Coturnix japonica: one gene and its partners. The protein of the gene in region 2 interacts with the protein of the main gene of each other region in a pairwise test. Links are inferred from orthologs where the notes say so. Each region holds a gene or a part of one and is shown on either strand. Other genes may lie near its edges. The genes, in order: KATNAL1, KLC4, NECAB2 and YWHAE.

Region 1 (8,148 bases), on a different chromosome or scaffold from region 2:
ACGAACGTACAACCTTCCCCTAGTCCCTCAAACAATTTAGGATTAATACTTTTACTAACTTTTTCATACATAAGCAACAAATCATGGCACAAGTTGAAGGCAAACCCATACACAGCTTCTCCCAGTAAACGTTTGAGAGAGCAATATTAAAGTATAGACTTGAAAGTATGTTAGTGGGCATGGTGAGGATAGGCTGATAGTTGGACTTGGTGATCTTAGTGGTCTTTTCCAACCTTAGTGATTCTATGTATCTTGGAGCACACAGAGAAATCACTGCATGTACACGTGCTCCTACAGCATCATATCAATAGGGAAATGCCTATTGATGTCTCCAGAGCTAGTCTGACTAGCAGAATCTCCTGCATTTGGGTATTTCAATTTTACTTATCACCTAATCAGGTAATACTGACATGAGAAGGTAACCGCAACATCATCCACTTACATGAGATGTGTTGGAAACAGCATCTGTTGACCTCAGTCCTAAGTAAGAGCGAGTTCCCCTTATGACCAGGCCCTACTGGGAGCCCTACTGGCCTACCAGGCTCTGAGGCCCTACTGCAAGGACTGACTAGTTCACAGAATCACAGAATTATCAAGGTTGGAAAAGACCTAGAAGATCATCTAGTCCAACCATTACCAATACTTCCCAGCTAAATCATACTCCTCAACACAACATCCAAACAGGAGTGTGTTCAAACTCCCATGGTTCAAACCTGGGGAAGGCCTTCTTCCCTCAATTGTTTACTCACACCAGTGAGAAGAGGCAGCTAGAACTAGGTGGAGGGTTTTTCCATATTCTGTACATGGTTTTTTATTATCTGTTCTGCATCAAATAATGGAGTTCATACATTGTACGCCATCAAAGAAGCCAGAAAGTGCATAAATAATTTTGTGTAATTTTAAAATATTTGTTTTTCTTGCTGTGCTACAACCGCATACCTTTAAGTAAATGCATAGCAAGGGACAACTGTTGTCAAGTACATTTAGGACAACTTACACATTCCTCATGACACCAACTTCCCATCCTAGCACTGTATGGTTCTCTCCTGCACCAGACCATAACAGCTCCACTGTACATCAAGGTACCCTCTGAGATTCCTCAGTTCACGGATCATTGACAAGAAGAGACATTACAGACGTTCCGTCAGTAGAGCTGCCACACACAGGGTCTTAAGCCCACTTGTTAAAACTCTGCAGCAGCACGGCTAAAAGGTCACAGGGGATATTAGTCTCCATTCTTCGGAGCATAAGCTGAGGTGATCCCTAGCTGGGGTCAGGGAAGAATTTTTCTCCCAGAACCAATGCAACGCACAATTGAGCAAGATCCAAAAGATGGGCTTTTTTTAAGTATTAAAACATGACACACTCAGAGATACACCAGTGAGGACGATGGGCAGGAAGGGGAGTGCAGCACTGCTCCTTCAGCACCCTGTCTCCAGCTGAGGTGTGCATGCAAGCCCATATCTGCATCCACATTCACTGGGTGCTGCCAGGAGCAATCAGTGTCCTCACTTCAGGCAGGGTCTGCAGCAGGATTTTTTCCTCTTGCTTGTTACTACACACTCAGATTTGCAAACGCCAACACAAAAAGCATCTTTGCAATCTTTCTGTTTCTCGTTCATGCCAATGTATTTTGAGACAATCGATTACACAACTGTGTCCCATTTTCTCCACAGGCATTTGACGCCTGCACTGAACGACATACATTAAATTGTGCATGTGTAATGTTCCTCGTTTCTTCTTTATTCTCACAGTTTCAGTAGTCACATCAAGCCTTGCTTACTGCCTGCTAGTCAGTCTTCTCTCCTAATCACTGTTATTTCCCCACAGATAGGGCTGTATTACACAAGTTCTGATTCTATGATTCTTATGTTTTAACCTCGACTTGCATCTTTTTCTGACCAGAAGCTGACCCGAGCAGTCCAAAAATTTTCCACAGCTCCCTGAGATTTCTGGACAGATGGTCTCACGTCATAGCAGCTGTGCAGTTGTGCTGACTGGGCAGCGGAACATCTGGCAAGGCCTGGGCATCCACAGACGAAGACTAGTTACTAATTCTGGTTCTCATTATCTGCAGAACAACCACACAGCGCTGATGTTGTGCAGACAGAAAACCAATGTGAGGGACCACTTTCAAACATCCTCTTCTCCCCCAGTTGTTTTCACCTGATAAAAACTAAAGATCCTACTTTCCATTTTTCCCTTCGAGGTCAAAACAGAGACATGCAACAACACGACAACAGTAGAAGCATGAACTGAAACGCTACCTGGAATGTTGTCAGGGAGGAAAGAAAACAGCCCCACAAATGTGGATGGGCACTAACAACCATTACCTCACTGCATAACTACTACTGCTAAAATATATACAAGTATGAACTGTGTATATATACTTATATCATACTTATTCATATGTATGCATATGTATCAATAAGTATGAACTGTGGCTCAGTTTCAGTACTTTGGTTATCTGCCTTCTGTTAAGTGGCGTTGGGCTTCTTTGCACTGAACCCCCCTTTTGAAACATTAGATGTGGAGATAATGGGAAAACGTGAATGGAACTGGTAAGATGAGACACGCATAAAGGCCTCAAACAACTGGTGTGGATTCTTCTAAGAGCTAACTTAAAATGCAAGTGGAAAGAAAAAACATCTTCAAACGAAGTGAAGATATTCACCTCAGGTTAATAGGAATCACTGAAATCAGAGCAGTGAATACAAATGCTATTGGGCACTCGAGGGAGCATAATTTCATGCACGTGTGCTTTAGGTTGTAGTATTAGCATCTTTGCTGTCTGCTGGACTCAAGTTGGCTTCAGCATCTCTTCTCTACAACATGGTCTCCTGCACTTCTAGCATTAGTGCCACACAGCAGGTTTAAGCACCCACGTGGTACCAGCCTAGAGGTGGTGGATCCCCTCCTTCAGCAGGATGCAGGGCTCAGATGCTTCAAGGCCTCTGCAGGGCTTGCAGAACACAGCCCAGATCAGTAACTCTTCCATCTCTCTCCACATCACACGCATAAACTCTTCTGGCGGAGCAAGCACGTCACCAAAGACTCCCAAGATGGGTCTGTGCAGAACCAGCTTGGGTTCAAAGTGTTCATCAGGTCAGGCTCTGAGTCAGTAAAGTTAAACTGCTCCTGCACCTGGCCCTGAATACCGCACATTCATGCTCCCACACCACTGCAACTCACAAGCGCTGTCAGAACAAAGCCAGCTACACAGAGATTCAGTTCTGCTGTTGCTACATTCCTAGCGAAGCTGATCTGCAAGCCAGATAAACTTTCCATGAATAATTGCAGGCTTAATGGACTCACACGTGTTTATAACCCTGACTCATAGGGTCTGAATTTAAGCTGGATGCTTTCCTTTCTTTCAAATTCCCCTTTGAAATTCAAAGAATTTGCTCTTTAGGACTTTATAATAAGGGTCTGCTGCAATAGGACAAGGGAAAACAGTTTCAATCTATGAGAGGAGAAATTTATACTGGACATAAGGAAAACGTTTTCTATAGTAAAAGAAGTGAAGTACTGGCACAGGTTGCCCAGAGAGGTGGTGGATGCTCCAACCCTGGAGACACTCAAGGTCAGACTGGATGAGGCTCTGAAACCTGATGGAGCTGTATGTGTCCCTGCTCACTGCAGGGGGGTTGGATGGGGCTTTGAAACCTGATGGAGCTGTATGTGTCCCCGCTCACTGCAGGGGGGTTGGATGAGGTGCCGTTTAAAGGCCCCTTCCAACTCAAACACCTCTACGATAACTCAAACCTTCAGCTGTATTAATGATCGAACAGGATCAGCCCCCCGCCTCCCCCACAGCCTCCTCCAGCCCCATGGGTCACGCTCCCTCCCGCTGTCGGCTCCGCTCTTCACCTCCCCTGGCTCGGCCTCCATCCCCTCACACTGATGGAGCTGGGCCTGCAGAGCTCTCCCGTGCGAGGGCCGATCCCCCCGCAGTCCCCCAGGGGAGCGCTGGGTGTTGTAGTCTCCACCCGCCGCTCCTCCGCTCAGCGCCAGCGGGCGGTGGGTACCGCGGGACTACACTTCCCGTCGTGCCATGCGGCAGGCCGCCCCCACCCCCGGCCCACGGCCGCCCCCAGCGCAGCGGCACGGGCAGCGCCGCCGGGCCGGATGTTGTTGGGCCGCAGCGCCCCGCGGCCCCGCCATTACCTGGGAGGAGCGGGGTGCGTGTCCCGGTGCCGGCGGAGCGGGGAAGGGGCCGCGGTTCTTCCGCTCTCGAGCGGAGCGAGGGAGGGGGGTGCGGGGATCGGGACGGGGGTCGAGCGATGGGTGAAGGGGGGCGGGGGGGGGGGGGGGGTGCGGGGATCGGGACGGGGGTCGAGCGATGGGTGAAGGGGGGCGGGGGGGAGGAGAGAGGGGCGCGCGCGCGTGGCGGCGACGAGCGGTTGCCATGGCGGCGGGGGGGGGCGGGGATGAAGCTGAGCCCGCCCACGGGCGCGGCCTCCCCTCAGGGCCGGCGGTTCGCTGCCTCCTGTAAGGGGCGGCCCGGGGCTGGGGTGAGCTCGGCAGTGCTACAGGCGATAGGCGGCCGGGATGTGCCGCTAACAGCCCGCGGGCTCGCAGCGAGAAGGGGCGCGGCTTTCCGGCCGGCTGGAAACAAAGGAGAAGCCCTGTGCGCCTGCGGGGGGTGGCGGGTGTGTCCTGTGTGTGTGCCTGCAGGGATCGCGCTTAGATCGGAATGAGGAGCTCGGCTGCTTCCATGGCAGCTGGGGGAGCGGTTTGGAGAAGGGAAATGCACCGCTGTCCTGGGCAGGCACACGGGATGTGGCCTTTGCTATGGGGTTGTGTCACTTCTATGTACGAGATCTAGGGATTTTCCTGTTCCTTGGGCTAAAGCAGCGCCTGATGGCAGCGGATGGCCTTACAGGGCATCATCTGCTGAGGTACGCACCTCTCTGAGGATGTAGTTCCAGAAGGGCAGTCCTGTGCCCGTATTGCCACCAGAAGGGCAGTCCTGTGTCTGTATTGCCACCAGAAGGGCAGTCCTGTGTCTGTATTGCCACAGAAGGGCAGTCTCGCTTGCCCGTTTGCCACCAGAAGGGCATGTCCTGTGCCCGTATTGCCACCAGAAGGCAGTCCTGTGCTCGTATTGCCACCAGAAGGGCAGTCCTGTGCCCGTATTGCCACCAGAAGGGCAGTCCTGTGCCGTATTGCCACCAGACAGGGCAGTCCCTGTGTCCATAGTGCCACCAGAAGGGCAGTCCTGTGTCTGTATTGCCACCAGAAGGGCAGTCCTGTGCCCGTATTGCCACCAGAAGGGCAGTCCTGTGCCCATAGTGCCACCAGAAGGGCAGTCCTGTGCCCAAGCACCAAGGCGTACGATAGTGCCACCAGAAGGGCAGTCCTGTGCCCGTATTGCCACCAGAAGGGCAGTCCTGCCTTCTCCTCTGATCCTGCGTGGGTTTTCCTATTTATTTACAAAGCAATAACCCTGGTGTTGCCATCTGGCATGACACGCCTGCGGTCTGATCCAGCTGACAGCCAGTTATGCCCCTGTAGAAAATAGCTGGCTTTCAGCTGGGCCTGTTCCTGAACGAGGTGATCCAGCAGAGCTGCAGCAAGCACCAGGATAGAGGTGGAGGCAGGAGCCCACTGAGACCACACTGCACTGCTGCAGTCACTCCCTGCTGCCACAGCTCCTGTGTGACAGTGCTGAGAGCATCCTGCTAATAACAGCCTGGTGATGGCTCCCAATGGCAATGTGATCTGTCTGGAAAATGTAAATTGCGATCTTAAGGTAGCAGTGTGAGGTTGTATGTTGCTCTAAGGTTTTCAGAAATGCTATCTGATGCAAGTGGAAGAGCAGGGATTGAAGCTGGATGCTCAGAGCACCACTTAAACAATGCAGCATGTGTTGATGTGTCACTCATAGATGTACATATCCTCCCTGAAAATCGTGTGGAGATTCATAGGCCTTTCTGAGTGTTTTAGAACTGGAGCCAAAACTGTGATGAATTCATAACAGCTGCAGCTCTGGCTTTCCCTTTCCCCAGATTTCTTCAAACTTTCCTGTCCATTACATCAATCCCTGCTGTTCTTTCACATACCCAAAGGCATAGATGCTGTGCGGACTTTGGAGACCCTAAATGCTTCCCTGGGAAAGCAGACATTACACAGCCCTATGCCACCATAATCCATTCTCAGAAGACTTATTGTACCTCGTATCACATTAGACAGCACATTAAACTGCTTTGTCTGAGGCTCATCTGGGAAACTGTGACAGAGGGAAGTTGGTTAGTTAGTCATAACATCTGTATTGTGTGTGTTTTTCCTTCAGTGTTTTCAGTAGTTGAGGCAAGTTGTTCTGCTTCCTAGTGGTGTAGGGTATCCTTGCTCCCTCTTGTCTCCCTTATAGGAGTAGTTGCTGAGCACAGTAGCAATTCCTTGCCACTCTTGTTGGACCTCTCAAAGGGAAGGTCTGTTTTGGGAAGTGTCTGCACAAATCCTAGCCCTGGACATTAAATGTACGTAAGGATTATAGGACAATTCAGGCTGAAAGGAGCTTGGAAGGGCATCTTGTCCAGCCTCTTTCTCACAGTAGAGTTTGTCTGCATGGTCTTTGATATAAGAAATGGCAAAAAGAAGAAGGGCTGACAGCCATTGGGAATTCATAAATTTGCTAATAACGTAAAAGAATGGTAGCCACGAGTGTGATATTTCATTGCTTTTATTGCTGCTGTGATCAGAAAACTCCAGCTTTTCTGGCTGGGGTGATCTAAGAAATATTGCTTCCCTGACCGTCTGTTCTGCCTCTTGACTGAAGATTCTTGCCTCCACAACAGTTGCTGGAATGGAAAGCACTAATGTTTCTAATACATTTTAATATCAAATACGGCATTAAACTGATCTTTATCCACAGTTTGAGCTAATTTTTTGGACATTGTATTAAAACAGCTGGGACTCACGCATGTATTTAATTTCACCAACTGCTGTCTGACAACGCCTGCTGATCTCAGGCAAGGAGAGTGAAGCGAGTTTTTGTGTGAGGGTGACACTACACTGAAATTTCTTCTATAGTTGGTGTATTCTCAGGTCTTACATCTTCTTACTGTCTTGATAAAGGCAGCTTGGGATGAGAGATGATGCTGGCGGTTGTCACTGGCTGTGGTTAGACAGGCTCCAGCTGTAGTGGTGGAGAAGGGCATTACTCACAGCTGAACCCCAGAGACTTATCATGCCCCTTTGCAGTGATCTGCAAATCTGCCAGCTGAGCTGATTGCATGCCCTCTCTCTCTGATTTATTCTAGTCAGTTCAGTCAGAAGCAGGTAGAAATTAATGGAGCTCTTTTGCTGTGAATGTTTGATTTGGTTCAGAAGTGTCTCTTAAGGTAGAATAATTGCAGGTGCTGTCAGGTAAGTTTAAAGCTATTCACAGTTAGGGTCTGTATCAGATTAACAAAACTGGTTTCTAAGTTGATTTGGTTGTTGTTACATAAATTCCATAGACTGTGTCTAACTTAGGTCGCTGGTAGAGGCTCTTAGCACAGAGTATCAGGGAACTTCATTGGTAATCTTCTCCCACACGCTACAGGAAAAGACTGAGAGTGTGGAGTGAGATACCTATGAATTGTGAACTGCCATTTGCTTTTGTCTTCTCTTCCCCTTGCAATTATATTTAACTTGACTACTGGAATTATTATGCCTTTGTAATAATGTTTAATGCTCACGTGCAAACATAACTCTTTACCAAAGGTCTTGTGGGTTACATTGAGAAATGCTGTAATAATAGAAGGTAAAAAACAATAGGGAAGCAATTGAGAAAAGAAGGAGGATGTTACATATTCATGGCCATTAACCTTCTGGGGGAAGTTATGCACGACTTAGTGAAGGCAGCAGTAGATACACACTGTTAATTTCCATACACACATAGTAATTCTTCTCCTGCCTAGATATTTTTATTGGGTGAAATTTATCACGTTGACACATCTACTCATTTCTTTTCTAGGAAGCTCCATCAGAGCCTGAACCTCCAGACAGAGTTTGTGATGGAATAGCAACATAGAAGGATGCAGTCAACGTCTTTCACACAAGGTACATCTCAAATGCCATGGACTGTTTATAAAGAGCAGTTCAAGGGAAAGCAGTTGCTTTTCAAATGAGATTTCCATTCAGTCAGAAAGTAAGTGTAGG
Region 2 (7,446 bases):
ATGGCAACAGGGAAGAGGAAGAAAGAAGGGGAACAGATCATGCAGGTGAGGATGGCCACGTGGGGAAGGGTTAGTGACAGCAGATGTAAGGGGGAGTAGAGGATTCATGCTCAGTGCATCATTTATGCCAGGCTGCAAACAGCCCTTGGTGCCAGCTACACTATACTCTCAGCCAGAGACTGCAGGAGGAATGGTAAGCATCAACAGCTCCAGCAGCCCTCAAGCCAAGCATCCACCAGCACCTTGCTCACTTGTTGCCTCTTTTCCATCCTCCTCCTTGCAGAAACCACCTGCCCCAGACCTAGACCACTACCTTCCTGCAAACTCAGTACTGGTGACCACAGTGCCCTCCAGTCTCAGGGCAAGCACAGTAGGCTCAGGGTCACCTTGTACAAGCCTCAGCTAACAGCATCCTCTTTTGCCACCGCCGATCAGCCCAGCTAGGCACCCCAAGAAAACCTGCCTTTTCCAACCTCTACTTGGCCAGAGCCCACAGAGGGGCACGAGACCATAAGAGGACAGTAAAGGTGTCAGCTATGGACTATTTCCTTATACTGCAGACACAGGCACAGCCCCACCAAACACACACACACATACACACACACACCTCCCCAGACCCAGCATCACCTGTGGCGCGCTGCAGGACAGAAAGGCAAGTTGCTTAGAGGCTATGGGGGCCTAAGATGGGGCTGACAGTCAGCCACAGCCTTAAGAGGAGAGGCAGCAAGGAGAGGTGTTAATAAGGTCGCCAAGGCTAAGATTAAGAGCAGGCCAGGACAGCTCATGCTGTGCACTGCCAGGAACTGGAAGCCCTCTGGAAGTGAGAACTTTTCAGAGTGTCTGGCCTGTACATGACAAGCCAGGCCCAGACACACACCTTTGTGGGCTGACTGGCTCATGCCAAGAAAGAGGAGAAGGAAGTGTGCAGGGAACAAATGGAGGCAGACAAGGATGCCACGACAGGCCACGCAGGGACAGCCCTGAGCCAGGCTGTCCCATCCCTCCAGCAGCCAGCTGAGGCCATTCTTGATGGTGTCTTGTACTTACCCCACTCCATTCCACGCCCATACTCACTTCCTCGCTACCGTCTGTGGCATTCTCGTACTTGACGCTGCCACCCAGGCTCCGACGTCTCTCTGTGCCATCACCCTCCTTCAGGATCTCCACCACCTTCGTCTGGTTGATTGGGTCGATGCCCTGCAAGTAGAAAGGAATAAGGAAGCACCAGTCTTGGCTCTTCAATGCTATTATCTGCCTGGTCCTTCTCCCTCTCTTGGTCATTGTCCCAGCACAGACAAAACTCTTCCAAACAAGAAGAGCATCCTGAATTCAGTAGCCTTTATTCAGGGAATGCCTTACAAGCTATAAGCCACCCTGAGTGACAAGAGCTTGCTGCCCCAAAACGCTGACAGCTTCCCCTCCTCTCCCCCCTTTCACATTTTGATGTGTGAGGGTTTTTGCTGTCCTTCACTCTTCATGCTGGGTATATACACAAGGGATTTCCTAGTGAAGGAGCTGAAATTCCTGGACACATTAGTAGGAAGAATGCACCCCACCAAGCGCAGACTCCTCTCAGCTGACAAAGCTCAGTAGCCTGCCATAGCTGTAGGATTTCTACACCCCAACAGGTGTTCCATCTACATATGCACACACCAGTGCAATCCCACATATGCAAACACATGCATATCCCCCTGCACAAACGGAAGACCAACCACTGAGCTGCTCCGGTGTTATGGGAATGCAAACCACAGACGGGAGGCTGCAAGGCACAGCACAATCCCTCAGCACACATAGTAATGTCACAACCTGCTACCCTGAGTCCCACAGCATCCCCCCACCCACCAGTGAAGGTCCCTCTGGGGTTACCTGCCGCCGAGAGCGAACCGCACACTCCTCCAAGGTCTCCGCGGCCTCAAGCTTGCCCTGGCGCCGGTACAGCGCACCCAGGTTCCTCAGAGTGGTGTTCACAGTTGGGCTGTGGCAACAAGCAGCAGGTGAGTGGGAGCCCTGGGGACACCTCACCCACTGCCTAGAGCTGCCCACAAACCTCTCTTACCTGCTAACCTTGCAGGCCTTGTACCAGCCACCATACTCAGCATAGGGAGCACTGTCTCTGTGCTTGCTCTATTGGGTGAAAAGGCAGCTGTTAGCCCCATGCCTAGTGCCATTCCCTGGCCTGTGCTCACACTGGGCACCAGGGTCAGGCCTAAGGCTGTACCCTCACACCAGCCCAGCCCCTGGAAACACAAAACGTGAATACCACAGTGAAGTCCCAGCAGGTTCCTGGAAAGAAAGGCTGAAGCCCTTTTTGCTGCAAATCATTTGAGACACAAGACAACATGATGCCCTCCCCCCAGTAGAGTGCACATTCCCATCTCCTTGGCCTTTCTGTGGTACCAAACGTAGCAAGGACAACGAAGACAAAAAGCAGTGGTTGAAGTACGTGGCACTCCCAATGCCAGTATGCAAAGGGATACCAAAACCCACAAATCCCATAGCTTCTGCACCATGAAACTGGTCCTGCCTGTGCCAGCAGCTCCACAGCTGTGCATTCCCTCTGGCAATCGCCCCAGCCTGGAAGAAACTGCCCTTGCAGGGACCATTTTCCTTACAAAGCCCAACAGAACTTCCTGAATCATTATCCCATATGCAGGTACTTTCCCAAGCCATAGGCACACTTGGCTTTCTTTGCATCAGAGCCTGGGTGAGCCCAGCACTCAGCACTCAAAACCAAGGTGACCAAACCCAAGGGGAAGGTTGTTGAATGTCTGTCAGTGGAGAAAGAACCTAGACTCAAGGGCTGTGGTCACCAACACCTCAGCAGATGTATTATGCCACAGGGCCTGGGCAGCTGCCTAGAGACAGCCATCTCAGGGGCAGGAAATGCAGCTCAGCTCTTGCCCAGGCTGCAAAATTAATTACATTTCCAGCTGCAGATCCTATAGGCCTGGGAGAAAAGGGGACACAAACAGTAGAGTTTCAAGGGGCCTGGTCTGGACAGCAGATTTAGACCATTTCCTGAAGGCATTCTGTTCTCTCACCCCTGCTGCAAAGCCTGTGTTAAGTGGAGCATAGCTCCACACTGCAACAGTCTGCCCATGCTCTTGCACTTCTCTGAAGTCATCATCAGAAAGAAGCATCTCAATCCCAGAGTAAGAAGGGGAGCCTGGGCCCTACTCCACCCAATTTCTCTTGCAAAGCAGTGCCACAGCCAGCATATTTTTCTGTCCTCCTGGCAAAAATCAGACTGAACTCCACTGCATTTGTCAGATGCAGCAGAAAGCAGAGCTCAGGAAACAGGAGCAACAGCTTCCATGTCTCTCAGCCAAATCCAAGGCAAGAACAACTCCATTCCACTCTCATTCAGAAGCCAGCTAAGACACTGAACAGCTAGAAACCTGTCTGGAGCTCTTTTCCATAAGGTTTGGTCCTACTTGCTAAGCAAGGTGACAACAGTATCTCTTCTCTACCCATTTCTTCCCCAGGCAGCCTCAAGACACACTCTGGGTACTGGCAGCTCTTTGGAACAAGCACCAAAACCCTGCAGCATAACTCCGCCATCCACCACCCTTCCATTGTCCGCTTGCCTTAAAGGTTTCACTAAAGCAAAGAGAGGCTGAGGTACTGAATAACTCCCCACTTCAAGGAAAATATCAGGTCCTCTGATGGGCCTCCATTCCTCATTGCCCCAAGGAATGATCTCACTTCTCCCATTCCATACACCATTCCTACCCTTTATCAGTGGTCACAGCAGCTCTTCAGACTGCAGAAAGGAGAAACTAGTTGTGATACAAGGGGATCAAAATCCCAGAATCTCTTTCCCCTTCTGGGGCTCTTGCTACTGTCAACAGGCTGCACCCCGAGCTCTCACTCACCTTGCTCATCTCCTCTCTCTCCTCTGCATGCATCCAGATTGGTTTGTGTTCATCTGCGTGAGGAAAAATGAGAGACAGTTCTACTCACCACTTTAACTTTGTTACTCTGCCACTTCCACTACTGATCTGCTGTCTGTACAGCCCAGCACCATCTCCAAAACCAGCAGCTCATCACAGGGCTTCCAGTCACTGGCTAGGGCCCCAAAGGCAACTGACATTGCAAGGGCAGAGCATAGGAAAGAGGGAGTGAGTTCTTCCCCTCCCTGTGCCAGAACTACAGGAGAAACTTCAATTCACACCTTAGAGGCACTATGCTCTTCTCCCCCTTTAAGCCACAACTGCTTGCCAACCTAGCAGACTGAAAGCCACAGCTCACTAAGACTCCTTCTGAGAGAAGTGGAGCAGCGTAACAAACTGGAATGACAGTGTTTTGAGGCCTGCCCAAAAACAAGGGCTCTGCAAGGTACCCCATCCCTCTACCACAGGGGTGGTGGAAGAGCAAACCGTTCACTCTTGCCCCAGTAGCTTGTGTACAAACCATCCACAGAGCCAAACTCCTTCACATGAGCACGGGTAAGGATATCCTTGTACAGCACCTCTGCATCTTTGTATTTGCCTTGCTTCAAGTAACAGGAGGCCTGCAACCAAGAAAACAGCTCCAATCCCACTGGGCAACACAGATTAACCCTCCCCACTTCTCACAGCTACCTCCCTGTTTCCTCCAGACACCAGTGCCTACTACTGCACTACTGCCCAACCCCACATAGCCTCTTCCCAGCAGCTCACCAGGTTGTTCTTGGTCTTGGCTACATTGGGATCATCAGGACCCAGGCAGCTCTCATAGATCTCCAGGGCCCTGCAATAATAATACTCCACCTCCTCGTATTTGCCTTGGTTCTGGCACAGTAGGGCCAGATTGTTCAGTTGCTTGGCCACATCAGGATGGTCTTTGCCTAGGACCTGGATACAAAGAAATCACAAAATAACAATATTTAAATTGCAGTGAACATCTGGGGGACGTTCAAGCAGCCCCAGCCCAACCCAGAGGGCATGCTTTTGTCAGCCAGGAGCTAAGGACTACAAAGGTTAAGCGGAGAAATTCTAGCTCCCACCTCCCATCAGGCCTTTCTAAACACCACAAACACTGGAGAGATAAAGGTGGTGGCACAATCAGCAGCTGAAGAGACTAGGGGGGGTCCTAGATCTTTGAGGTACAGTAAGGTAGGGAGATCAAGCCATAAGGTTGAGCTGGAAGGAAGGAGAGCATGAGAGAGCAGTACCTTCTCACGGATCTCCAGGGCTCGCTTACAAAGTGGCTCTGCTTCTTTGTACTTTCCTCTCTTGCCATAGAGAACAGCCAGATTGTTCAAAGTTGCAGCCACCTGCATAGGCATAAACTTCTCTGTGAATTCAGTGTAACCAACCCAGGGAGCAAGCAGCAGTAACAGTCCCATTCTTTCACCCTTGCAAGTACAGATGCTTCTAGAGACAAAGAGGTCTAGAGGCAGAAAGTTATCTTGCCCACATAACAGAATCCAGGAGATGCCATCTCCTGATTGGCCATACTGATCAAGACAGCAGAAAATGATATAGCAACACAGTGCCCCATAATACCACATAAACAGCACCCCAGCCATCACAGGGCACACTGCTATCTGTGGCAGCCCAGCACCAGCCAAGCCAGTCTACAGCCAAGTCACAAGGGAAAGGGGCACTGCACTCTTGACCTGTACATGCCACTGGGGCTAGAAGTGACTAAAAGAGAAGGCAGATACTCACTGCTGGGTGATCTTTACCCAGGGTCTTCTCACGGATGGAGAGGGCATCATTCAAGAGGTGCGCTGCCTCCTTGTATTTATTCTGATCCCTGCAGTGCAAAGCCAATTTGTTACCTGGGGTTTGGACACCACAGTCTGTGGAATGCAGAACTATAAGCAGCACTCCTCCCTCCACAAAGATCAGCCTCCAGCAGCTCTTTCCCCCTTCCTCAGGTTAGTTTTACTGGGGAGTTTGGTGGCCCAAATACTTAATCTGTGCCAAAACCTTTTTTGAAAGGCAGACTGCTGGAAGCTGGGAGAATTCCTTGTCACCAGAATGTATTAACCTCATCAACTGAAGAGGAAGACAGCCTTTCTGACCCAGTCCTGCCCTCCCCATCCTCACCTGTACACTAGTGCCAGGATGTTGAGCATGGTGGCCACATCAGGGTGATCGTGGCCTGATGTCTTTTCCAGGTCCTCCAGTGCCTGCTTGCAGAGTGGCACAGCCACCTCGTAGCGTCCTTGTGAAGCATATTGGATGACAAGGTTGTGGAGGGTGCGCAAGCGTGCAGGAATCTCATAGCCTCCTTGCTGGGCAGCTGCTACCGCACTGCTATGTTGGTGGGGCACTGCAGGTACAGAATACACCAGGGCACATTTGGCACAGCAGGTTTGAACAGATACAGGCAGTAACTAAGCATGAGCAAGCACTCACATCCAGGACCATGTTCCTCCTCCTCATTTGGAAACAGATCATCCAGGGAGTCCTTGGTGGAGTCACCTTCCTTCTCCTCCTGAGAGAATAGGAATCACAATGCTGTTCATTCTCAGAAAAGACAACAGCAGCTTGGACTGACTCAGCTGCTACCAATACCCTCAGCTCCTTGGTCATCCCTGCTACCACCCTCCTCCCACCAAACAAAACCAAGTTTACCCCCACCATATCTTGGCACCCTCTTCCATGTTTTGCCAAAGACTCTGCCCTGGGCAGACTTCCTTCAGTTACAAGCACTGCTGTGCACTGTAGCTGGGAATGGTTAACATCCAGAACAAGGCTGTTGCATTCAGGCAATCCTCCTGGTCCAACACCCCCCACAAAAAGAAAAGAAAAAAAAAAAAAAGCTGCTGCTTGACAAGACAATGACTTACCGAAGGAGAAACATCCTCATCATATTTCTTCAGCTGGTTCATGAACTCAAGGTGTTTCTTCTCCTCCTCCAGCTGAGCCACAGTTTGTTCACTGCGCTGAAGCTTCTGCTGGGTGTTGGCAAGCTCGTCACGCAGCCACTGGTTCTCCTGGCACAGTCGGCGAACCTGAGCACGCAGTTTTTGCTTCTCTGATTCCACTGCATTCAGATGGTTGGACAGTGCCATCATCACCTTGTCAAGAGTCCCAGTCATAATCAGTATTGACAATAACTTTTTAATCTCCCTCATGCATGATTGAGGACCACCCTCAGCCCAGTGCAACCCCTGCAGCTTACTGGTAACAGCCACATACTTGCCTCCCCTTGTCAGTCCCAGGTACCACATAGGATGGCACTTGTCACCCTCACCTGTGCTTCTCCAAGACCCAGTTCGATCATCTCCACTGACTTGCGGAGCAGGTTGGATTTCTCATGCACAAGGTTGGCTTCTTCATCCTTCTTCAGACACTTGATGGTCTCCAGCAAGCTGTGCAGGATGGAGTTGTGTTCATTCTTGAGAGCCTCCAGCCCCTGCATCACCAGCTTGGTGTTGGAAATTATCTCCTCTTGGCTCAGTTTGTCCAGTTTCTCCTCCCTTGGGTACACCATGGTGGACATAGTCCT
Region 3 (7,446 bases), on a different chromosome or scaffold from region 2:
GGGGGCACCTTTGTGTGTGGGCAGAGCGCTGCCCTGGCTGTGATGGGGCTGCTGCATTGAGGGGATGTGTAGCTCCACGTCCTCCCACATCCCCCACCACCCCATCCCAGATGCAGCCACACTGCAGCTGGCTCCCACATGGTTTATTCAGTGTCATCAGTTCTGTTGCTCTATTAATAAACAGTTGGGTAGAGGGGGACACACCCTGTGAGGCCCTCTCATCCCCCCTTGGGGCTGGGCAGGATGGGGCAGGCTGTGCACAGACAGACAGACAGGCACACACAGACTTACAGACTCCTGGGCCAGGGGAGCAGCCACCCCCGGGGCTGTGAGGCCCCCACCTCCACCCCACTGGGATCCCACGTGCCCTACAGATCTCCATCCCTCCTCCCTCCTTTGTGCTGGGTCTACCTATCAGAGACACCAATATGTACCTCCTGCACACCAAGGGGTTTGCTCCCACCATATCCACCTAATCACCACCCCCTCCCAGGCCCCAAAGAGCCCACCCTGTGTGGGGAGAGGTGCCCCAGGAGTGGGGCAGCTGAGGTGCTGCCAGTGGGGGACAAGGGGAGTTCCTTTGCTGCAGATAGGTGACAATCACACTGCCCTCTGGTAACAGCTCCTGGAAGGGGGTGGGGGGCACAGCCAGGTCCCTGCATGGTCAGTCTTGGCTCAGGGTGCACCAGGCGGCTGCAAGGGAACATCAGCTGGAGTCACCCAGTGTCACTGCAGCACACATCCCCCCCCAGCTGCACCACCCACTCTGCTCCCCGCTGCCCAGGGGCTGCTTTGTGCCCCTACCCCGGGTCCTACCTGGCACAGCCACGCTGGAGATGGCCTCGGGCTGGCTCAGAGCGTCCACCTTTACATGCTGGAAGTCCTTGCAGGTGGCACTCTGCAGGTGCCTGCGGTGTATTACAGCCCAGAATCACCATCCTGACCCCCCAGATCATCCCACACAGCTTCCTCTGAGGGAAATAAGCAAGACCTCTGCTCCCTGGGCCCTCTCCCATGCCCCCCATCCCTTGTCCACCCAACCCCACTTGTCTATCCAACGTGCCCAAACCCTGCAGACACATCCCTGGGAACCCCACTCCTGCCACCAGAAAGTGGGCAGCAGACTCCCCACTTGCCCCAGGCAGCAGCTCAGCCAAGCCCTGCTCCCATCCCTACAAGCTTCCCCAGCTGGCAGCTACCCACCCATCCCCCTCTACCTCTTCCAGTCATCCTCGGTCTCCCAGAACTCATAGACGATGAAGGTGACTCCGTCAGGCAGCTTGACCGCAGTGACGCTGGCAGTGGTGGGGTGAGGGTGAGCTGTTGGGGGCGTCCCCAGTCCCCACAGCCCCCACCATGGGGGCACCCCAGGCTGTTGTCCTTGCAGCCACTGAGGGTGCCCCCAGTTCCCAGCACTCCATCCTCCTGCTGACCCCATCTCCAGGTGCCCCCCCCAGTACCCACTGGAAGCACTCCCGCATCCCGGCTACGCTCTTTAGGTACTGCTTCAGGGAGCTGCAGAACTCGCCCAGGTGCTTGTGTGACACCGTCATCTCATCCCGCACCAGCAGGAGGTACTGGGGGGGAGACAGAGCAGGATGTGTGACCCAGTGTGTGCAGTATCCCCCCCAGGGACACCCTGTGGGGACACCATGGGGTGGTGATGGCAGCACAGCCACATGCTCACCATGCAGGCTGTGCTCTCACTGTCTGACAGCCGCTGGTGCAGGTCAAACCAGAGAGTCTGCAAAGGGAAAAGGAAGGATGGGGCACTGTGTCCCTCTGGGTGTCCACTGTGAGGGGACAGCCACTGAGAGAGCCCTGGTGCAGTAGGAGCATTGCAGTAGTTTGGGGGCAACAGTGCCCCATCAGGAGGTAGTGGAATGGAGTCACCCCCTGCCCCAGATGCACTGGAAGCCTGGAGGAGCCTGGCCTGTATCCATGGGAAGCACCAGGTGTGAGTTAGTATCTGGGGACACGTGGCACAATGGGGACCTTGGTGAGGTATAGGGACCTGGCACACGGCTTCACATCACCCCACCTGCCTTAGAATGGCCCCAAACTGCCAACAATGCTTCTTCCAAGGAAAATCACTGTCCCACACCCTTCTGCCCTGAAAACATTTGGGTTTCAGAAACACCTCCAGTACCTCAGCATTCCCTCTGCCTGTCCCTGGATGGAACGAGGTCACCCCTGTGAGAGGCTTCAACTCCTTCATCCATAGGAACATGCAGTTTAAGCAAAGCCCATGGCACTCTCACCAATGGTGGAGATGGCTGGAGCGATGGCAGCCATGCACAGTCCCTACCTTGTCCTCCAGCCTGCTGATGAGTGCAGCCAACCTCCCGATCTGCCCCTCCAGCCCGTCCTGCCTGGGCTCAGGGGCACCTGCAGGAACACAGAGCAAACAGTGCCTGTGGGCATCCACCCACCCAGCAGCTGGGAGCAGCGGGCTGCTGGAGCAGCAGAAGCCATGTCCACTCACCACTCTGGCTGCTCTTCCCGTGGCCCTGAGGCACAATCCGGGCAGGGGGTGCGTAGCTGGGCACAGGGCTGTTGTACCACGGCTCTGTCAGAGCAAGACCAGCTGGGCCAGGGCACTGCCTGCAAGGGATCAGGGAGATGTGCTGGGCACTGCTGGGCAGATATCTCACAGCCCTCTGGTTCCCCGCTTTTTAGGCCACCTCTGATGCAAGAGATCAGGGTGGTGGGTTTTTTTTGTTTTTTTTTTGTTTTTTTGGTGTTTTTTTTTTTCCTTAGCGATTTTCACCATGAAAACAGCTCACAGCTCCAATGGCTTCATGATGAGCCAGGTCCACACACCAGCAAACAACAGACAGTGAGGACTTCCAGCAGCTCTCACTGATTCTTACTTCCTCCTCAGCACTCCCAAACCAGGCTGTGCTGTTCCCACCTGCCCTACACCACAGCTTGCTCAGCCTTCCACAATGGGGAAATGAAGCCAACAGACACCCGGGGCACTCCTCCCAGTACAGTCCGGGGACTCCATGGCACCCACGGCCCTCTCAGTTTGCATATGGCAGAGCCACTTGGTCAGCATCCCAAACTACCCTCAAATGGGGCTATTTGGGGAGTGCTGCAGGTACTCCTTGCTATTTCAGCTCTGGCTAAGATGAATCTTGAAGCAATCTCCTCCACCTCCCCTAGGCTCGATCTCCTGAGGATGGGGGACAGGGATGGGGATGAAACAGTGATGTGACAGGGGAAAGAGTGGGAATGGGATGGAGACATCATGGACTGTCCCAGCACATCCCAGACACAGACACTAAATCCCAAGGGGGGCTCTGCTCAGAGGAAAGCCCTGAGAGCTCCTGGGGAAGCTGGCAAAGGCAGCTGCTCCACCAGTTCCTCTTTGTCCATCATCCCCAGGAGCCCTGTAAAAGCGCATCATAATGAGACCAGCTGTGAAGCAGGGATGGAGTGGGGAGGGAAGGAGAAATGGCCGACCTGGAGGGGTTGGTCTGCTCATCAATGGCATCCACGGCGCTCTCCACCGAGCTCAGCAGCGACTGGGTCTGGTTGGCCGTCTCCTTCAGCAGGAAGCGGGTGACAAACTGGTCCACGTTGCTGCCACTCTCATACACCTGCCAGGCAGGGACAGCACAGTGATACTGCTCAGCTGGGTCTGGTGATAATCACTGATAAATTAACACAAGTCAGGTAAACAAAACTACCCTCACTTCAGCCCTGCTCCAAACAGAGCTCCATCTCACCTTGTTCAGCCCCAAACAGGCTTTCAAAGAGATTTATCCCCACTGGTTTGAACTGAGCAAATTACACCTTTTATCTATATCTATCTATCTATCTATCTATCTATCTATCTATCTATCTATCTATCTATCTATCTATCTATCTATCCATCCATCCATCTATCTATCTTCTGTGTGATAGAGACTGCTGTGAAAAGGAGCAGGTGTTCCCAAAGAGGGCTTCAATGGGGTGAAATAAATGGTTTTCAGTGGGATGCCCCAGTCTGCAAGGACGTTGTGTGGGAACAATTGCTGAGCATTCGGGTGGGGAAAAGGATAGATGTATTCCCAAATATTCCTGAATTTCTGAATTTCTCCCAGTATTCACACTCGTGCTAAGGAGGGTTATTAAACTGACAAATCTCCTTGGCAAAAAACATATAATTGCATTTGGGATCTGAATCCATTTCTTCAGCAATTCCCCCTCACTGCTGATTCCTCCCTAGGGCCTTGCACATGGGAGCCTGTGCAAAACCAAGGCATAAATACGTTAATCAGGCACTTGAGCAGGCTTGGCTATAATTACAGATGAGTTTTGATTAAGCCTGAGCAACCAGCCCTGCTCTGATTGCAGGTGCTGGGGCATCACTGGAGCAATGATGAGCCCCTCTGCAGTTTTCCCCAGCTGAAAACAAAGGCTGAGCTGTGCACAGTCTCTGTTATGAGTCTGGAAACAAATTGATAAAACAAACCAGGAGCCGTGCTGCAATTTGCCCCAATTTCCTGCTGCCCACCAGGACTCCATTGCCTGCATCCTACCAGCACCACCGCACAATTTCTCATCAAGTCAGGCACGTGAACCTGCTCCTTTTGGGAAACAAAAGGTTTTAAGAAGGTGTGGACTATACATGCATTTGGTGTTAGTGTTCTTTGCCCTGGGACACCGGATGACCTCATGAAGAAGTAGAAAAGTAATGCTCAGTTCTTAATGAGCCACAAATCTCACTGTGGTGTTTCCACAGGTGAACTGTAGCAGTGTTCATCCTGAGAAGCTTGTCTCTGCCCTCTCCTGTAGGCACTGGTTTGATATGGTGGTCAATGAAAACCCACAGCCCTGTGATGTTGCTGTCTCCACAGGAAGAACTGGAAGCACTGTCTGTGTGGGTACCAGTAAGCCATTGGGTTAGAAATGGAGGAGCTTAAAAAGCAGCTGCTTGCTGCTGATGTGAACAGCTGATTGCAGAGCTGTTAAAATCCCAGTGTGTTAGAAGTGATTTCAGGATGATTTTCTTGAACTGTGCTTTTCAAAACCTGAGCAGCTATAGAGCTCTGGGTACTATAGAGCTCTGGGTACAGGGAATGGGCCAAGTGGCTCAAAAGGCAGAGCTGACATCCCAGGGAGCGCTCGCTCATGGCCACAAGGGTGAATCCAAGTTGTTTCCCAAAGCCATCCTTCTTTCCTCCCAAAAACCACTAATGCCTCTGTGCTTTTGAGGCCACCACAGGAGTCCCATGTGGGTCAATAGCTCTGAAATGAAAATCAATGATTTTTTCTCTTTTCTTCTCATTTAATGAATAACTGTGGACATCTGCCATCCCAACTGTGACATCTGCACTCAGCAATGTGCTCTGAGCTCCCTGGCAATCCCTCCAGCTCTGCTGGAGCAAATGTCCCCTTTGGCACTGCAAAAATAAGTCATTAAGACAGCCAACTCCAGAGGAATCCTTCCCGTGGTCTTATTAAAACATTTGTGAGCCTGTTCTAGGGAGATGTAATGAGGTTTGGTCTTATTAATTCTACCCAAAGAGATATTTCCTTCTTCTTTTGCCTGGGAAGTTAAAATATTTATGGGGATAATAAAATAATTGCCGCTTTGTGACATGAGACCCTGGAGGGGTGTATCTCAGAAGGCTTCTCTTTTTCATCCAACTGGTTCATTAGTTCAACGCTAGAAAGGCTTTGGCACCAGAGATGCTGCCCTGCTGCACAGTATTGTGCTAACAAGCCTGGTCTGATGGCGCTAATTAGCAGCAGATCCATGTTTGTATCAGAGGAATGAAATGCAGAGGCAGAAGTCCGACAGGAGATGCTGAACCCCACATTATGCTGTGCTGGGTTTCAGTCTCTCCTGAGACTTATCACATTTTCTCTGCAGCTTGAAATCCTGGCACAGATAAAATAAAGCACTGTGCCACCCTCTGCCTGTGGAAACCCAGGATGTAATTTTGGTGTTTTGAGCTCTTGGACCTGCTGACACTGGAGACAAACTTCCCTCGCTGGGTGTTGCAAACTGGTCCCCAGAATAGGGCTTCTGTAACTGTTTTCCTGTGGGTATCAAATGGCTGAAAAAGGAGATTGTCGATGTTGTTGAGCATCTTAAAGCCTCTCTGCTGACATTTCTAAAGGTCACCATTCATCTTGTTAAGACTCCAGGATGTGAAAATGACACAATAAATGACGCTCATGGGCACCGAGAGCCCCACTGCATCTCTTTGCCTTGTAGAGCCTCAGCACTGAGCCCCAGCATTCCCAGCACTGCCTTTGGGTGACAACGGCCAAACTGGGTGCCATTTGCTGAGCTCAGGGACCTGGCACCTTCTCCAGTTGTTAAGAACACTGACCCCAGATGAAGCACATCAATAGAGCCAAGGCTCTGAACTGATGAGGCTGCTCGAGCAAAACCAAAGCCAATTATGTTCCTTCAATTGTTTCTTAAAAAAAAACCCAAAAACACTAAAAAAATCCAAAGCAACAGGAAAACCTATTGGCATGGCCATGAAGCTCCTCTACTGAGCCTCCCCCTGGATTACATCAGGTTTATCTCCCACCACCCAACACTTCACAAATCAGCCATGTAGAGCAATGCTGCCTCAGAACAGCGATTCTAATTCCTCACTCCTAATTGCCTGCTTTCTACCAAGAGATTTTTTTCTTGTAATTAGAATAACACCCAGACCTTCCTCTTGCTCCTTCCCTGCTCTATGCTCTTAACTCCCACCAGAAGCAGAGGCCAAGAACTGATTGCCTGGCACATAATCAGTAGTAGAAATCTGAGGAGAACAGACACTGAAATATTTGATAAATGAGAACATTATCATATGAAAGACTCTCAGCCTACCTGAAATGGGGGGTGGGGGGGGCGGAGGAAACAAATTAGACAACTGTTCAGATTAAAAAAAAAAAACAATGGCACTGCATGCATTTAAAAACATAACGATAATAAATTCCTCCCTTATAAATCCCATCACACTGTTCTGTTGAAAACCTCTTTCAGACTGCACAGGTTCCCCTCTTCAGCTGTGTTTTGAGGCCAGGGCTGGGGGCAGGGGGCTGTTCCCAGGGTAAGGCAGGACCTGATGAGGGCAGCTCAGTGTCACTCCTCTTGACCCAAGTCCTGTCACCTCCTGCAGTGCCCTTCCTGAGCAGTTCACTGCAGAACGTCTTTCTCCTTGTTAAGAGAGGTGCTTCCCATATATAGCATACACATCCTGATCCACAGGATGCCATAGAACGGCTTTTTTACACCTTGTCCATGCAGTTGCCCTCTGACTACACATCTTACCTCTCTGACCTCACAATCAATAGCCTTCAGGTGGGAGAGAATGGGAATCACAGAACCACAGAATGGCTTCATTTTGAAGGTGATCTTAAAGATCTTCTACTTCAAACCCTGTGAGCTGGGTGCCCCCCCAGCGCAGTCTGTCCAGGGCTCTATCCAGCCTGGCCCTTAGCGCT
Region 4 (8,024 bases), on a different chromosome or scaffold from region 2:
GGATGAAAGAGAGCTAATGGGGTACGAATGTAGGCTCAGTGTTCAAAGCAGAGTAAGGTCACCAGTGGAACCACACGGTGATCAGTGCTAGGAAGCATGTTAGCATTTGTAAGCGATACAGAATAAAAGAGTATTCAATACTAATTTAGTAGTCACAGCAAATTGCTAAGAGCAATAAAGACCAAAGAGAGCAGGAGAAATAATGGCACACGTTTTCTCTATTAAGTGATGTGTAACCATGAGAACTACAGCCCATAGATTCCATTCTCTCCAGACGTGCAGCCCTCTGATCCATGTGATACCAGCAGGCACCATCCTATTCACTGCAATGATCAGCCCCGAATCCAAGCCAAAAGAAACCAAGGTCTTAAATGTTGGTGCACCCCAGACAGTTCTAATGTTTGATTGTATGACTGAACTACACAGTTCTACAGAGCATAATCCCATATTAATGCTCTTGAAGAAATAGATGATCGAGACCAAATAATTCAACTAACAGTTGCATTTTCTGCACAATCAACCTACCAACACGATTTCTAAGTCATTTCTATATCTTCAAGTTAGGAAGATGTATCTTCCTAAAAGACAGAGGACTCCTACTAACAGAAGAGTCAGATTGAAAGCAGAGGCAAACAAGGACTGAGTCTCATCATACATTTCAGTTTGACTGAGATCTGCTACTTAAGAGTCTCCTAATACAAGAACTTGAGTAAGTTAATGGACACTAACCCAGTACGTGGGCTTCCTGCAGGGCACTGAGCCATCTAAGGTTGGATGCTCAACACTTCTGGTATCTCAGACGTTTCAAGAGGCAAATTATCAAAGGTCCTCACACAGCTCTGCTGGGCAGAGGGGAATTACACCCCTCAGATGCATTTATATTATTTACTTGAAAGAGGACCACTGCAAACTGAAAATTATGAGCAACTTAATCATTCATCTATCTCATAAGTGAGAATTTGATTCTTCAGCAAGCTGTAATTGCAAGTCCTGCTACTGTGAGCCAACTCATTCTACAATATGTTCAGATTTTGGATTCAGTGCACACCTTGTTGCCTTCAGAGGGAAGGTTTGCTTCTCTGGCAATGAGTTAATAGCAACACAGGAGTTACATGTTGACTTGCTGTACTGGGAATCAGGAGAGCTGTCAATTATCTTCTTCCCAGCTGTAAACAGAGCTATTATCCTCACCTGCTACACCCTGGGTAAACTTCAAATGATGTATTTCAAGATCTGTGGCACAAATCTGTTGGCAGGACTGAAGCACCCACAGGATTCACTCGGAGCTTACCTTCTATCCTAGCATGCTTCTCTACTGATGAGAAGAAAGGTGCTACCTAGCTTCTGCAACAGAGAGTTAGTTTTGACATTCAGCAGTCCATGAGAACGCAGATACATACAATCTTTTGATGTGAGAAAGTAAAGAGTTAGTGATTTCATAAACCAACGCAATTTTATCAACTCCAGTTGTTTCCCAGAAAAGACATTTTATATATATTACGCAATTGGGAACCATCTTTGAAGGAACTCAAAGGGTTTTCACTCAGGGTGGTGACGCACTGGAACAGGTTGCCCGAGGAGGCTGTGGATGCCCCATCCCTGCAGGCATTCAAGGCCAGGCTGGATGTGGCTCTGGGCAGTGGCGACCCTGTACATAGCAGGGGGGGTTGAAACCAGATGATCATTGTGGTCCTTTTCAACCCAGGCCATTCTGTGGTTCTATCAAGTGCAGGTAAATGTGATTTTTTTTTTCCTCAAGTACGATTTGTCACAAAGCTTTCTCTAATACAAGTAGGCTGCCCGGCATTTTGTGATCTGTCATGACACGCCTGGGTAGATCCGTAAAGACAGACACCCAAATCTCTTACTATCTCTAGGGATCACAGCTTTAAGCATTATTTACACTGCAGAGGCACCTAAGAAAGTTGTCCTCTTAATCTGGGCCGATACACCAAGGGCTGTACAGAGACAGAACTACATTCCCAACAACTGGCAGGCACAGCCTGCAAGGCTTCAGAACTTAAGTGGGTCATGTAACTAAAAAAAACCCAAAAAACTTATTAGATTCCTACCTTAGAAGCTGCCTCAAATGCCATGGACCATGGCTGTTCTAACCACACAGCACGCTGAGCCTCACTGAGAAAGATGTGGCAGAACGTAACGCTATCCTAACATTAAACATCAAAAATTGTCATTTTACATTCATATTCAAGTCACAGAACAGGTTTCTATTCCAGCACATTTGTAGCCAGTACTTACCATCAGTAGTATCTGGAAGTTATTCACTATTACCTCACCATCATGTATCTCAAAGGTAAAACTAAAGAATGAAACTAAGCATCACTTCACTTCCCCACAGCATTTCATTCACATTGAGCAGCCTCAGCACTTACTTTCATGTAAATGAGAATATACTCTTCACTTTTTAATTGCTTCCAACTGAACGATACAGAATTAGATGCTAAACCTGTACCTACAGTATTTATTTTTCCAGGCCAGGGACAGAAAAAAAGGCGGAAAGCTATAGAACAACATGGAGAGTTAAGGGATGCACCTTAAATTTGTTGATTCAACTCCATGCCAACAAATTCTGCAAGTCTGAATCCCACAATATTGCTTTAAAGATAAGAACACTATGATTATCATTACCTCCTCAGTGAGGGTGTTCTTATTAACACTCAGAAGCCACACAGAAGCCCTCTGAATTCTGACCTAGGCAATTCATTCTTCAAACACCCACTGGAGCATTGGGATTGGAAGCCCACTGACTGCCTTTGTGTGGCATTTCTATCTCTATCAACCTTTTTTGATAAGGAAATCAGGCTGTGCTGCAGATTTCTACAATAAGGGAAGGTCTGATTGCTTTCCAAAGAAGTGACTTCCCATTCAGCTAGGAAAGCATCAGTTATACCTCAAAAGGATGATGTATCCCCCAAACATCCTTAGCCTGGAGTTCCATTCAAACCACAGCTCACCCCTGCGCTGAGGCTCATCTGTACCAGGTGAACAAACCCTCCCCCACACACACCCCAATACTGCTGGATTTGTGGTCTTTGTGGAAGATGGCAGCAATGAGAACAATGCACCTTCCCATCCCACACTCCTAAGGAGACAAAAAAACCAAGATACCCCAAATCTACACCCCCCTCCTCAACCACTTGTACCCACAGATGTTGCTCTCCTACTATGAGCTGCATCTTACTTGAAGGGGTGGGCACAAGTCACCCCACAAAACCTGCTTTGGGGGACGTTTTTTCCCCCAAGTCCCTGCAGTTACAACAAGGAGACTATCTGGCTGCTGTCACTCAGTACGATTCTTATTCCTACCCCATTTCTACCAGAACATTCACTGCAGATGGTCTTAATTACTCCTTCATTTCTGTTTTCCTCCCCCAAAAGGTGTATTTCTCAGCTTTGGAATCCCATTATCAGAAGTTTTCTAAGCAGTAACTCAGAGAACAAAGCCTAATTCTCACCAGCTGACTTCCCTGCTCTGTGAAAACCCTGATCAATTAAAGGACCCAAAGCATCTCCCCACTTCTAAATGAAACCTAACTGTACTCCCACCCTTTACACACACACCGGCTTTTCTTCCACTTGAAATACAGATCTAAGGGCAGAAATAACAACCCCATTGAGAAAATTAAAGGCCCTTTCTTCTATAGGCAAGAAAAGCACCTTGAAGGGAACAGTCACACGGCAGACATTTTGGGGGCAAGAAATACCATCCAGGGCTGCCAGCTCCTCCCCACCGCCCCTTTTTTTTCCCCAAGATATAAAGGGATCAGAGCTCTAATTTCATAAGGCAAATGAGGGAAGGGGGGGGGGAGGAAAAAAGAGACAAAGTGGGAACGTAAAATGGTCTGTAATGATTTCCAGCGTGTAATGAAAGCATGTGTTCTTCCTTCAGGTAATGACGGGCAGTGCCAGACGGCTGCAGGGTGAATGAGAGCCGTGCCTCCAATGGAAAGCGAAGGGAGAGAAAGAGAAGCGCCATCCCGCTCCCTCGGGTCCCTCCGGCATCGCCCCCCCCGAGGGGCCGGCACGAACCTTCCGGAGAGCGGGGCGTTGTCTGCGGCGAACCGAGCTCAGCCCCACAGCGCCGAGCTCCGCGGGGCCGCGGCCGGAGGGAAACGCAGCACTAAGGAGCCGCCCGGCACCGCCACAGCCGCCCGCACGGCGCTAAGCAGTGGGGTCTCTTTGTCGGACCCCCGAGGCGGGGGCGGCTCCCCCCTTCCCCCCCCCAGGACTCGCCCTTCGCGGCCGCCATTTTCTTCCCGGCTTCTGCCGCCACCGCCCCCCGTAGCGGGCCACGCCCAGGCCGAGGCCGCCCGCTCATTCAGGGCCCCCCATCCCCGGTTCCGCGGCCCTCGGGGCGCTCCCCGGCGCCATTTTGTCGGCGCCCCCCTCCTCCGCCCCTGCCCCCCCCACCCCCGCCCAGCCGCCATTTTGTGGCCGCTCCCTCCCTCTCTCTCCCCTTGGCCTCTCACGGCCTTCCCGGCCGCCGCTCACCATCGTAACGTTCAGCCTGTTCGGCCAACTTAGCCTGATAGACGAGATCCTCCCGATCGTCCATGTCCTGCAGGCGGAGCGGCGTCGGGGAGCGTACGGGGCGGATGGAAGCCGATGGGTCTGTGGGGCTCAGCAGCTACCAGCTCGCTGCTCTCCGGGCAAATATGGCGGCAGCACCTCCTCCCGCTGCATCCGGGCACTTCCACAACCGCGCGCATGCGCCCTACGGCATCCCATAGCAACGGCGGCTCCTTAGTAACGGGCGGGATGTGGCCGGGCCGGGGTTGGGACCGGCCGCCATTTTGCTGTTGAGCGGCGGCCGTGAGGATGCGGATCCGCCGCGATGTGGAGGCCGAGGGCCGCGGTGCGGAGCCGGTTGGGGTTGGGGGTGCTGGTAGGGAGCCCTGCTAGTGTGTTAAAGAGCCGGGTGGGGGTGCGGGGAGGATCGGAGTGGCCGGGTTTTCCCTCAGTCTGGCTGCGCTTTTCTCCTTCCTCTCAGATCTGGTGTATTCAAAGTACAGCGGCCTTTCCCTGTTGTATTCGTCCCGGGTATAGGAATGCCTGTAGAAAGGCAGGCTGTGTGATGGGGGAGCGCTGTGGCTGCCATCACTGACTGATCACTGAGGGGATGGAACTGGAACGTGAGAGGAATGTGGCATCAATTCCTCACAGAGGCCTGAAATCCACCGAGCAGGCATTGAAAGCGTTATGATAACACCCCCCCGTTTCCCAAATCAAAGAAAAAGCAAAAGAAAAGTGATTCTGTTTGGCTAAGATAAACGTGAGGTTTGTTCAGGGTGGGTATGAGCTCGTATCCGCTATGAACAGGCTCGTATCTCTTTTTCCAGTGTCTCCTTGGATGGGCTGAAGGCTCTTGGCCTTCCTGAGGTGTGAGAGCCCACAGAGGCCATTGCAGCTTCTGATACGCAGCAGAGACAGAGCATCCCCGGCACCTCTTGGACAGAGCTGAGTATCCATTTGTGTTCTATGTTGTGCCCACTGATCAGAGGCACAGGTTTAACCATCGGTTTATTGTCACCTGATTCATTTCATTGCATTATTTCAAGTTAACGAAGACTTAAGGTTGTGTAAAACTGACAATTGGATGGTTTGCTTATGGATGTACCTAAAATATTACTATGATTTTTATAGAATTATATAGAATCCCAGCGGATTACGGTCAGTGTATTTGTGTAACACTGCGCAACTTACAATCACCTCCGCCCTTCATAAATCTTAACTAAAAAAGCCTATTTTCTCAGCAGCTAAGACTTAGTTTTGTGTGGGACTGTACATGATCAATTCGATTTGCCTCAACGTAGGGACTTTACTTGATCCTCAATTTCCTGATGCAATCCTTGCCTTGTCCTTTGCACACACAACATTTACACACATTGATTGGGCTGCTACTGCAACAGAAAGTCACCACTGCAAGAAGAAGCAATAGAACTCTGCATAAATCCTTCATGACAAAGCCATGGAGACTTGCAAATACCAATAGTGAGGTAGGTGAGCAAGGAGTAAAGCTGAGGGCAGTGCTTCTCCCTGTGGAAATTTATTATATGAGGCTGATGGGCTTATTGTGTGGACAGGAAAACTGGCATCTCAGTATAGTTAAGTGCAAAGTCCCACTCGAGGACTCCACTAAACAGTACTGATGAGGAAAGTTATGTGTAGTAACCTGCCAACTGAATACCAAGTAACTAAAATACTGAATGCTTTAATTGTAATGTAGTGAAACAAATGCCATTGTTGAACATACCAGCAAGAAAGGATTACTGACATCAAGACTCCTCCCTGCCTACTCCCAGAACCAACATACAGTGTAGTAAAGCGTTATTAAAATATATATAGTATATATTTAAAATATATATATACTATAAAGTATAAAATATGGCCTATTCTATGCAGTGAGGGCCTTGTGAGCTAAAGAGCACCCCCAGAAGGCCAAATGTTTAGGAGTATTTTCATTTAAGTCATCTCAAGAACCCCCAAACTATTTTCTAATGCATCCCTACAGTTAGAATTGAGACTAATAACTAACAAGTCTCATTTTTACTTTCTTCCTGAGTCCTCCTCCTGCAATGAGAATAGTTCTCCCTCTCCCCCTGGACTTAAGGAACTCAGTTAGTTACAGCCATTCACCTTTCACACCATCAACCTTTTCTGGTTGATAACTCCTTTTAGTCATCTCATCTTCCTTCTGCAGGTGTTGGGTTTAATTGTTTTAACATAAACGTGCTCAGTTAAAGAATGGGACTTAACAACACTTCTGTTAATGTATTCTTAAACACAAGTATTACAATAACAGCCGATTGAGAATGACACCAAGCCAAAGTTTTGGCTATACTTTTATTTACTTCACATACTATGAACATATACATTACATGCTACAAAAAATAATTAAAAAAAAAAAAAAAAAGACTTTTAACTGTCAAGAAAGTGGATAGTGTTATAATACAATGGCACATGTTCATATTCTTCTTCAAACTGGTTTGGTTAGAATCCTTCCCCAAAACCATTAACAAAACCAAAGTGTTTTATTCTTAAGATGATTAGAAATATTTGCATTATTAACAAATACAATTCAAACAAGATTAACAAGATTTAAACCAGGTCAAATATTAGTAAAAAGGCTGGGGTTTACCAAAATGAAATCTATATTAAAAAAACATAGCAGCCAGTTGTACTTTTAGTGTGATATAATGTGTAAATGCACCAGAAGAACACAGTGTAACTGAGCATCCTGCTTTCAAGGTGTGTTTCTAGAAATGATTATTCTAGTTCTAACACCTGCCTATGCACAACAGAGCAAAACCACAGTCAGAGACAAAGGATTGTGACCAACGTTCTTCGCAATGATTCTTTGCACGCATTGGGAAGAAGGGAGGGAACAAACAGAAGAGGATAAACAAAGGCCACAGAGGGTTTAATCTACATGATCATGAACGTATGTTCTACCTATTTGCCTTTAAAAGAGCTCGGTAAGTTGAAATGTCTATTTTGCAGAAATGCAAACATTAATTTCTATCATCTACGGGAAAAAAAACACACATTTCAGCTTAGAACCAAATAGTAGAAAACAGTTGCGTGGATGTATTGGTTGACTAAGAAAAACTGCTTGACAAGAACTTAGGATTCTACTGCAACAGCAGCTATTAAGACTCCTCTGGTTCCATTTTTTGCTCTTTCAAAGCGTACAAATATTTGCAATTTATACAGTCTTCACAAAAACACATCTACCAACTTTGCAGGGTATTTGCTAGTTAACAACTCCATTGATGTCTTTCATATTAAAAAGGCGAGGTTTGCATCATAAAATTCAAGAAGGAAAAAGTTATTTTGCTATCTTAAAATACCTGCTGATTGGAAAGGTATAAATGTATGGGCTTTAATTAATTGCAACTGGAAAAATAAATGCTTTGGAACAAACTGTGTCACTCTAAGAACAGTTTGTTGTGCCGCTTCTCTAAAACCTGAAGTCTTAGCATATATGGGCAACTGATCAGCTC

What was found.
Region 1: the proteins of KLC4 (region 2) and KATNAL1 interact in binary tests that used the Homo sapiens proteins (3 or more experiments, as listed by UniProt). The two-hybrid records come from large-scale screens. The link is inferred for Coturnix japonica from reciprocal best matches to the Homo sapiens genes KLC4 and KATNAL1.
Region 3: the proteins of KLC4 (region 2) and NECAB2 interact in binary tests that used the Homo sapiens proteins (3 or more experiments, as listed by UniProt). The two-hybrid records come from large-scale screens. The link is inferred for Coturnix japonica from reciprocal best matches to the Homo sapiens genes KLC4 and NECAB2.
Region 4: the proteins of KLC4 (region 2) and YWHAE interact in binary tests that used the Homo sapiens proteins (3 or more experiments, as listed by UniProt). The link is inferred for Coturnix japonica from reciprocal best matches to the Homo sapiens genes KLC4 and YWHAE.

The regions. Positions count from the first base shown.
Region 1 is NC_029516.1:156,738,213-156,746,360, reverse strand, and holds the start of KATNAL1 (katanin p60 ATPase-containing subunit A-like 1), read right to left. Parts: upstream 4,301-8,148; 5' UTR 4,168-4,300; exon of another isoform or gene 4,071-4,167; intron 3,980-4,070; exon of another isoform or gene 3,871-3,979; intron 1-3,870. UniProt on the Homo sapiens protein: Regulates microtubule dynamics in Sertoli cells, a process that is essential for spermiogenesis and male fertility. Severs microtubules in an ATP-dependent manner, promoting rapid reorganization of cellular microtubule arrays.
Region 2 is NC_029518.1:3,526,497-3,533,942, forward strand, and holds part of KLC4 (kinesin light chain 4), read right to left. Parts: coding exon 7,192-7,446; intron 7,016-7,191; coding exon 6,785-7,015; intron 6,430-6,784; coding exon 6,351-6,429; intron 6,265-6,350; coding exon 6,039-6,264; intron 5,743-6,038; coding exon 5,655-5,742; intron 5,258-5,654; coding exon 5,156-5,257; intron 4,836-5,155; coding exon 4,662-4,835; intron 4,514-4,661; coding exon 4,414-4,513; intron 3,929-4,413; coding exon 3,876-3,928; intron 2,125-3,875; coding exon 2,057-2,124; intron 1,976-2,056; coding exon 1,867-1,975; intron 1,198-1,866; coding exon 1,048-1,197; intron 1-1,047.
Region 3 is NC_029526.1:163,822-171,267, reverse strand, and holds the end of NECAB2 (N-terminal EF-hand calcium-binding protein 2), read right to left. Parts: intron 3,606-7,446; coding exon 3,469-3,605; intron 2,605-3,468; coding exon 2,486-2,604; intron 2,389-2,485; coding exon 2,309-2,388; intron 1,745-2,308; coding exon 1,688-1,744; intron 1,578-1,687; coding exon 1,465-1,577; intron 1,296-1,464; coding exon 1,218-1,295; intron 909-1,217; coding exon 817-908; intron 694-816; coding exon 665-693; 3' UTR 129-664; downstream 1-128. Other genes in the region: SLC38A8 (putative sodium-coupled neutral amino acid transporter 8), read left to right, coding at 1-60. UniProt on the Homo sapiens protein: May act as a signaling scaffold protein that senses intracellular calcium.
Region 4 is NC_029534.1:3,987,723-3,995,746, reverse strand, and holds the start of YWHAE (14-3-3 protein epsilon), read right to left. Parts: upstream 4,714-8,024; 5' UTR 4,577-4,713; coding exon 4,513-4,576; intron 1-4,512. UniProt on the Homo sapiens protein: Adapter protein implicated in the regulation of a large spectrum of both general and specialized signaling pathways. Binds to a large number of partners, usually by recognition of a phosphoserine or phosphothreonine motif.